2 linked regions of the Drosophila melanogaster genome follow. The protein of the gene in region 1 interacts with the protein of each later gene in a pairwise test. Each region holds a gene or a part of one and is shown in the gene's direction. Other genes may lie near its edges.

The links. Proteins that work in one complex are often made in the same cells at the same time.
Region 2: the proteins of Zasp66 (region 1) and PpV interact in a two-hybrid assay, tested with the Drosophila melanogaster proteins (one large-scale study listed by BioGRID).

Annotation. Positions count from the first base shown.
Region 1 is NT_037436.4:8,622,339-8,627,567, forward strand, and holds the start of Zasp66 (Z band alternatively spliced PDZ-motif protein 66), read left to right. Parts: upstream 1-2,032; 5' UTR 2,033-2,144; coding exon 2,145-2,345; intron 2,346-3,870; exon of another isoform or gene 3,871-4,055; coding exon of another isoform or gene 4,056-4,172; intron 4,173-4,622; coding exon 4,623-4,771; intron 4,772-5,088; coding exon 5,089-5,229. Other genes in the region: GAPsec (GTPase activating protein, SECIS-dependent read-through), read right to left, coding at 1-20, 73-596, 739-1,211, 1,270-1,349, 1,417-1,436.
Region 2 is NC_004354.4:6,370,459-6,374,728, reverse strand, and holds PpV (protein phosphatase V), read left to right. Parts: upstream 1-1,813; 5' UTR 1,814-1,912; coding exon 1,913-2,077; intron 2,078-2,165; coding exon 2,166-2,453; intron 2,454-2,541; coding exon 2,542-3,000; 3' UTR 3,001-3,664; downstream 3,665-4,270. UniProt on the Drosophila melanogaster protein: May be involved in controlling cellularization or in regulating transcription of the genes involved in this process.

The DNA of each region.
Region 1 (5,229 bases):
AAATTGCTTCCCTTTGGATTCTGCAAAATTTCATATTAGTTCTTGCTTTATACTAAAGCTAAGTTTACTTACAATATCATTGAACAGCATATTTTTATCAGAAAATCAAATCGCTGTTCGTCCGCAAACACGGAATCCCAAATGCGCAGTACATCTGGCAGTGGAAACTCCTGCGACAGGAGCAGTGTGAGCCACCTGAAGCTGTAATACTGCGGATGCAGCTCTTGGCTCCTGAGTAGCTCGTAAATGCTTAGGTCCTTTGATTTCAGCATATTCGATAGCCTGGCCATCATGAACTTGATGCCGCCTTCTGCGTCGTCTAGTGTTTTAATAAAAAAGTCTCTTATCTCGCTCATCAGGGCGGTAAAACAAAAGAAACAATCAGCCTCAGCGTGGGCGCGATATGTGAGGTCAGGATCGGAGGCCATAACATAGTAAATGGGTCCCACGATTTCGTTCATGCCCTGGACATATCCCTGGCCGGGATTTAGTTTGGCATAGATGAACAAAATGCGTTGCACAACTTCCCAGTGAGCCTCTTGGCCCTCCTCCATGGCGGCATAGTTTTCAACGGAGCGTTTTGTAATCAAATTTATCTATATAGAGCACACATATTCATTAGGTTTGGGGCAGTTCCAGATGGGCTTACTTACTTGCTGCTAAAATCCACACGGTATGCATGAATGAAACAACACATTCTGAGCTTATTGTCTAGCACAATTCCGATCTTGAACTCACCTTTGTCATGCCGAGGCCCTTGCGTTCCACATTCGCCGAACTTAGAACGGCGGGAACCACCCGTTCGTGGAGCCTTCGTCCATGCTCTCCTTTGCTGTGGACCACAATCTCGCAGGGATAATCGGTGGGCTGCTGGAAAAAGGATATGTCCGGGCACAAGCGGCGGACATCCTTGTCGATTTGCAGTAGAAACTCGTTATCATTGAAGAACGTGTTCCACGCGCTTTCGGGTCCCTCGCTCAGCGGATGATCTTGCAGGCCAACGCCCCCCGAATCGACTTTGTCCCCATCTCCTCCGTCTACGCTAGCTCTATTGCTCGAGTGTCCGGGGGGCAGGACTAGCTCCTCGATGAACTGTTTATACAGGGCTCGCTTTTGGGCCAAGGTTGTGGTCCAACTACTGCGCCTAGGCCCCAAATAGCCAAGGAGTAGCTTCCAACTGAGTGCTCGAAAACTCTGCACATCGGGCACACCTGTGGAGTGCTCAGACTTCAAATTTTGAACATTTCAAATGCACTCTTAGCTTTCTACCATTAAATGCCAGTTTCCTGAGTTGTTTCAGGTCAATTAAATCCTGTGGCCCCGCCAAAACATCCTCAAATTCCTTGACTCTGCATTTTGGTTAGAGAAAGTCTTTGTTTACGGAGAAGTTTGGATTAGCTTAGAATAACAGCTTACCGCGCCTTGAAAATAGACATGCTGCGGCTTTATGTGGGCGGGGCTATGCTGAGATCTTGCAGTACCCCTATGTGTAATTAATTAAAGCTTTATCTCAGTTTTATGCTGGGTGAAATCTGCAGGTATAAAACACAACAAAACAATGGGCGTTGCCAGATGGTTCGAGCTCTAATCGATTATTCTCTGCGACTATCGATTTTTGAGTGCATTGGGCGGTAAAATTCAAAGTTTTTAACGATTAAATTTTATAAATAAATCGAAATTTTAAATGGTTTACTGTCCTCGTAAAAATGTATGTAATTACCTTCTGTCTTAATTGTATTGTTCTTTTTAATTAATTAATTGAAAAACTGTTTTTAAGCTGGTTGCCAGATCTTGTAAAGCTGAAGGCGCTATTGTTTAAATTGTAAATGAAAATGATTAAATCATGATTATTAGATATTGCTTGTATGTATTTTCTTTGCTCAATCAAATTTACTAACTGAAACATCAATTAATCCATTCATAATTCTCCGCGTCTCACTATTTCACTGGATTTTGAATGAATAATAATATTCTGTTTTCGCTCATTTTCTCTGATTTTTTCTCCGCTTTTATTTGATTTTTCAATTGCCTACTAGTGCACACACACACGCAGTCGCGAGCAGACGCGTTCGAATCGTAGAATTTAGCGCATATTTCTGAATGTGCGGAGCATTTCTTTTGTTTACTCTAGTCGCTGGCCAGCAATGACGACCAGCAGATCATCGGCGTCCGCGTCATTCAGTCGACCGGCTTTCTGGAAGGTGCCCGGTTACGAATTGCCCACGTCCTATCGTCCACAGCCGACCCCAAAACCGCCGCTCGTACCGCTGCCATCGCCCTGCAGGCGGCGCAGCAGCAGCGGACTGAAGAAGCGCGTCCATTTTGCCGATGAGCAAAACGTGGGGGTAAGTCCAAGTGGCCGAGAAAAGTGGAAGCCCCAACCCCTTTCAAATCGCCCGGCTTGTCAATCATCGCGCGTGTGTTCTTTTCTTATTCGTATTCCAATGTATTTGTGGCCCCAATTCACAACAGGCCGACTCAGAAATCAGTTCAATAACATTTCGCCCCTTGCGGCTCGTAAATTTGTCAAGCCAAATCTAATTAATTGGCCACTGCTGCACTTTTCGGTCAAGTAAAATGGCCCAAAAAAGATGGATGGATCTATATTTCCATTGGCATGACTTTTATACCATTCGCAAGACGTTGGGTGAAGAATTTCGAATGATTTACAATCCGCTCAAGGCTGATCTACAGCAAAAGTCACCGTAAAAACATTACACGAATTCCAATTGAAAATGAAATGAAAACAATTCAAGCCGCAAATAGTAAAAACATTTCAAGAGCCAGCCAAAAAGTGCCGAAATCAGAATGTATAAAATTAAAAATGAAATGGCAAGCCATATATTGTGTATATATTCAGCGAAAAGCCAAAAGGCAGGAAAAGATTTTTCCGCTGTAAACAGTAAAATTGTTGCCAAAATCGAGAGGCAGACAGAATGTTTAATACAAACCAACGTCCTTCAACCGTTGACCCGTTCATATTGCGTATACGTCACGTTGGCCGTAGACTTTTCCATTGACTAATGCATTAAAAATCTAATATGATTTGCTTATTTAAATTGGGCAAGAGTGTCGAATTGGTTGTTGCAGTTGTGCTAGTACCGCCTCAGTAACTAAAACTAATTACACTCTCTCTTGGTTGCCTCATCGTTCGGCAAACAAGTCGGAGAGGAATAAAACACTAATAAAATAGTCGAAAATGTCGAGGAAAAACAGATGCCTAGATACTTGATTTTTATGCTTTTTTGCATCAGGCGAGCTAGCTCATCAAAGCATTCGCCTAGATGATGATATGTGGCATTCATCTCTTCAGGGTCAGCGTGCAACTGGATCAAGTGCTGCCCTAAAATGTGGTCAACGAAATGCAGAATGCCACAAATGCAGGGCACACGTCGAATTAAACAATGGGAACAATGTGGGAAAAGGTTTGAGTTTGTGGTGGCTTGCGGATGCTCTTCGCGATTTGGGTATATATAATAATGAAAATAGTAAAGCTTTAAATACATGGCACACATGCAAGCAATCATGTTTATTAACACTGCGTATGCGTAATTTGATATGCAGCCGCTTATCAAGTATACGCCTAATTATCTTGTGGTAATTATGAGCTTTGCCGAGGTAAATGCTCCTGATGCTTTTTGAATCCACGACATCCGCTCTGAGAAATTCAGAGTGCTCTTAGCGGAAACCCCATTTAACGATTAGGATTCGCCAATCGAATTCATGTTTCTCAGCATGTAGTCGCCGTTGCCGGCGGATATAAGTTGTACATGTATGTACATATGTGTATGTAAGAAACAAACTTGTGGCGCAGTGTACTCTGCTGCCGCTGCTGTTGCTGCAAAAAGGAATACGAATTGTATTTTAAAATTAGTACTTGAGCAGCTTTGCGATCGAACAAAACGCTTAACGGATTGCAATCGCGCGCCGCCTGCGGCTCGGCCAGAAAAGGCCAGAAAAAAAAATAAACAATAAAAAATAAATATATATTTTCGGGATAAACCATCGCTGGATCGGATGAGCGTCTGATCTTCCAGTCTATCTTCAACATCAGGATGAGCCCCAAGCTGCATGAGTTTGCGGTGGTGCTACTGCGCGATGGTCAGGCCACGCCCTGGGGCATTCGTTTGGTGGGCGGCAACGATCTGGACACGCCGCTAATTATCACCAGGGTAAATGGGCGTTATATAACCAGAGAGACTGTCGCCTTGTGGTCGCTTGTGGTCCATTCATCAAAATTGAGCCAGAGAAGAAATGCCTGAGGAAAAGCGATTGGCCTTTGTGCCCCGCATGCCGCTTTGTTCTCAGCGCCCAAATAAACAACAACAAATCAAAATAGCGAAACGGGCACAGCAACAATAAACGCTGCAGCGTTGCCAAAATGCGACGCCAGTAAAACTAATTGAGGCGCAACCGAATAGTCGAAGAAAATTTCCACTTTTCCTACCTACCCCCTTTTCACTGAGCTGCGATGTAAACACACACATTTTGGCGATCATAATTCTGTCTGCATCTATTTAGGCACCCATAAATCTGTGTCAAGGTTGCAACCAGCCCGTTGCACCCTATACTATGTGTGTCTAATGACCTTCCCACCTCCTTTTCCACCCCACCCGTTGCAGGTGCAAGTGGGCAGCCCAGCGCATGGCGAACTTCTAAGAGGCGACATCATCTCGAAGATCGGCGAGTACGACGCACGCGACCTGAGTCATGCGGATGCACAGCAGCTGTTCCGCGGCGCTGGCAACGAGATCCGCCTGGTGGTGCACAGGTGAGCCAGGAAATCCGTGTATCTGCATCAAAGATACCAATCAGTTCCGTATGTTTAACATCAATTTCTTCTACGAGTGTCAAGTGTATTGAGTAAAGAGAACACCTTCATTTTAGTTTTCTGTTTTTTAAACAGGGCTTTTATCATCATAAAAGTTAGTTGATTATAGTCATAGTATAAAAAACTTAACTTAAGTTTTACTCCATTGCCAAAAGGAAACCTTCGTCTTGGATCAATTTGCACTAAGAAACGTTAGGAACTGATTTTTCTTTTGTATGGTCTGTGATATGACAAATATTAATAATTCTAAATTGCAGGGACAACAAAATCGCCTACACGCAGGGTGCAACTCAGGAGGCAGGTCCTGGATCTCGGAGCAACTCCACTTTGCCGCCGGTCACTCCGGATCTGATGCCCCACCGCGGTCCGTCGCCCTTTTTGCCCGGACCCAGCCACTT
Region 2 (4,270 bases), on another chromosome or scaffold:
GGCGAAGAAGAGGAGAAAAGCCGGCTAAAATGAGCAGCGCGGCCAAAGAAGGCGGACAATGCCAAAAATATAAAATGACCCACAACTGTTGGTCATTTATCGCTTGCTCTCAATGTTTTTTTTTTTTTCCGCTGACTGCACACAGCAGGAAAATATTGAAAATACCATTCAAATAGCCGAAGGTGTAATAATCTTTTTGCGTTTAATTGAGAATACAAAAAAAAAAACTCTGTGAGCCGAGGAATTTGTTAAAATATGAAGTCCAAGACTTTTTTTTTTTTAACCGATTGTTCGAAACTCTAGAATTTTTGGCACCGTGTTTGCAGCAAGATAAAGCCAAGAGGCTGTCCGCTGTCCGTTGTCCTTGTTCCGCCGTCCGTGTCCTTTGCGTCCGTGCAGGGGGCACATAATTATCAGCCACATCAGCCGCAGACGACAGGACTTTGACTTTTAGAGGGCGAGCGGAATTGGCGAAACGTAACGAAACGAAGTAAGAAAACAAGTTTAACTTAATTGTCAACATTGTGCCAGGCGGACACAAACAGCGACATACAGAGCGGCAAGGACAATGGAAGGATGCGAGCGGATTGGGGCCAGCATTGGGGGGGCAGGATGGCTGGATGGCTGAATGGAAAGCACTGGCAAGATGGCCAAAAGAGCACAAAAAGCAGCTGGGAGAACAAGCCCAAGTTGAATACCAAAACGGAAGGGCATAAAGTAACGCCACTAATGATGGAGCACGACATCTTCGCCGGGGGGAGAAAGAGAGAGTAAGAGAGTGAGAGTGATAGAGAGGAACGGAGAGTAGGTGGCAGAAAGAGATGGGTGGCGAGCACAACAGTTTCGATTTGCAAAACTAAAAGATATTGCATTTAATTCGATTCCACAATTAAATGCGAATACAAACAATTAATTCAATTATTTTCTATGAATATATGCTTAGCATCCTAACTTTGAATAAATTGCATATATTTTGTGCTTCGAAACCCGTGAAACGTTCATTTTTTTTTTTTTTTTTACCAATTTCCCTTGATTCGCGAATTGTCACCTTTATGGCACGTTTATTTTCCCAACTTCAGATCCAGCGAATGCGAAAAGTAAATGAAAGAAGCCAACACAATCAAATGGCAGCGTGCTAATGAGACTCTAAACAAGCTGCAGGGCCATTAACCCATGTGCCACCCCGTGCCGAAAAACGCATGCCAGCACGCTTCTCATAACCCTTAACACTTGCTGCCCGGAAAAATGAGCGGAGCTGCAAAACAAACAGCGAACAAGTAGCGTGGCGTGCGATGGCAATAAAATCTAAGAGCGTGATTATTTTCAACAAGCCAAAGAAAATATATATGTATATATATGTAAATGGGTTTGGGTTAAAAAATAAACGGATTTAAAAAGCTTTCATTGCGGACTAATTATGATTTGTGGCGGCTAAAGGCTAATTGCAACTAATTTCGCTTGCCTCCACAAAACCAAAGAAAACAATACAGAAAAACACAAAATCGACCGCCAAAGTAATTAAATATTTTGAATTTGAATTCAAATGTGTTAGCTATCGATAACATGTGACATTCTCGCTACGCAGTGTGTACACACCAAGTATACAGTTCTAATAAGAACGTCCCATGCGACTGGTGCTTGCATCGGCTAAACAAAAAATTGATGCACCATTTATCGATGGAAAACAAAAGCAAATAAAATACTCAACAATAGTATTTAAAATAAAAAGAATAGAAGAAACTTTAGATCAATTTTTTAGTACTCTAACCGTGGGCAGCAGTATAACCGTTGCTCGATAACCATTGAACACCAGCCAGTGTGACCGTAGGTGCGCAGATGGACGTGCAACCAATACTTATTTATTAACTTGTTTTAAGGCGATTTACCGTGGATTTCACAGGCAGCGGGCATCATGGGCGACGTGGACAAGTGGATAGAAGACGTGAAGAAATGCAAGTACCTGCCGGAGAACGAGCTGAAGAAGCTATGCGAGATGGTCTGCGATATCCTCCTGGAGGAGACGAACATCCTGCCCGTGAGCACGCCCGTCACCGTTTGCGGTGACATCCATGGCCAGGTAAGCGGTCATCTCCTCCGTCTTCGTCTCCTACGTCATTGCAATGTCCACTAACGCAATGCCATCGCACTCCACCCCCAAATTGCAGTTCTACGACCTGGAGCAGCTGTTCCGCACTGGAGGCCAGGTGCCGCATACCAACTACATATTCATGGGCGACTTCGTGGACAGGGGCTACTACTCGCTGGAGACATTCACCAGACTGCTCACGCTGAAGGCGCGCTATCCCAGCCGGATCACCCTGCTGCGCGGCAACCACGAAACGCGGCAGATCACCAAGGTGTACGGATTCTTTGACGAGTGCTTCAGCAAGTACGGCAATGCCAATGGCTGGAAATACTGCTGCAAGGTCTTCGATTTGCTTACCATCGCTGCCGTGAGTTGAACTATGGGATACTTCATGTGGACAACACCCTTTTAATCATTTACATATATGTTTACCCCACTGCCCCTAATGTACACAGATCATCGACGAGGAGGTGTTGTGCGTGCACGGTGGCCTGAGTCCCGAGATCATTACACTGGACCAGATCAGGACGATCGATCGCAACGGCGAGATACCGTACAAGGGTGCCTTCTGCGATCTGGTGTGGTCCGATCCCGAGGACATGGAGTACTGGGGCCAGAGTCCGCGCGGCGCTGGCTGGCTGTTTGGCCACAATGTGACCAAGGACTTTATGGCGATCAATAATCTGAACCTCATATGCCGAGCACATCAGCTGGTCAACGAGGGCATCAAGTATATGTTTGATGGCAAACTGGTGACCGTGTGGTCGGCGCCAAACTATTGCTATCGCTGCGGCAACGTTGCCGCCATTCTTAGCTTCGAAACGGCGGAGAAGCGGCAGACGAAGATCTTCCTGGCTGTTCCGGATGCGGAGCGTGTGATACCCAAGCAGAACACAACGCCCTACTTCCTGTAAAACGTTCTGATGTGATGCGATGTGAAGTGATGCAACGCAATACTATACCACATACCATACCACATACCGATCCAATACGATCCGCCCACTGTTCCGGCATCGTGGCTAATAATCATATACGCTTGTGGAGAGCAGAGCGGAGTGCAGCCTTCGACTGACTGATCCGTTTCATTTGACCACCCATGAACTCAACGCCTTAAACTCAAAACGTGCGCAACGAGCACCCCAAGCATAGCAAACACTCAGAACAGCAAACACAAGCCACACACACCACACACACACCTGTAACTTGTAATTTTCGTCTCTTTTTTTGTATGGCAAAAACACATATCTAATTCTTAAGAGCACAGTTAAAAAAAAACTTTGTTATTAGTTTCCGGCAAGTCCAAAGAGAGGGGAACACGTGAATTGATTTCTTTAAGTTGTATATCCAAGTATTGTATTTACTGATAACGGATGCTAATGGAAGCAAGAAGTATATAGAGATTCACTTTGTTATTTTGTATTCCAAACCTACATATTTATTTCTGTGAACAAACACAAAAATCATATACTTTGTACATTTTGTATTAGTAATGCTTTGAAGGAAATAAGAATAACTAAGAATAACCCAATTGTGTGATCCCGATCAAAACGATATGATTAAAACAAAAAAGACAATTCGAAATGCGTTGTCCGGTAATCAGTGGGAAAAACCAGGTGTCCCTTATTCCGCTCCCAAAATGTCCATCATCCGTCTCTGTCGTTTTCGCGACACGGCTCCGATATTCAAAGTTCCACTGAAATAATTTCGATTATGAGTTTCTTACATAAATATCATTTATTTCGTTTCGTTTTCGTTCATGAATCATTCTCATTCTCATGCTTTGCAACATCTCAACAATTGTGTTTTCATATATATTGGTTTGCTTTGCCCCAACATTTATTCTAGCGTCCCAACTCAAAAACAAATATGTATAAGTACTAGACTTTCTATTAGGGGCGAAAAAGAGGTAAATAAGTGAGTGACTTTCGCATTCTGGGGTCGGTCATCATCATGTGGCATTCATAATTCCTCGCAACTTGCTTTTCCATGGCACCTGGCCATGCTCACAGTGTTTTGGATACTTCTCTATTTGTATATATATATACGCGTGCGTTTCCGGGTCAACAATTACAAAAAAAAGAAAACTAAATAATCACACTAGCAGAGTAGTGCATGTTAGGAATTAAAAGAATTCTCAACAACAACAACGATTTGTTTAAACGATAGAGAATAAAGAGGTTCCAA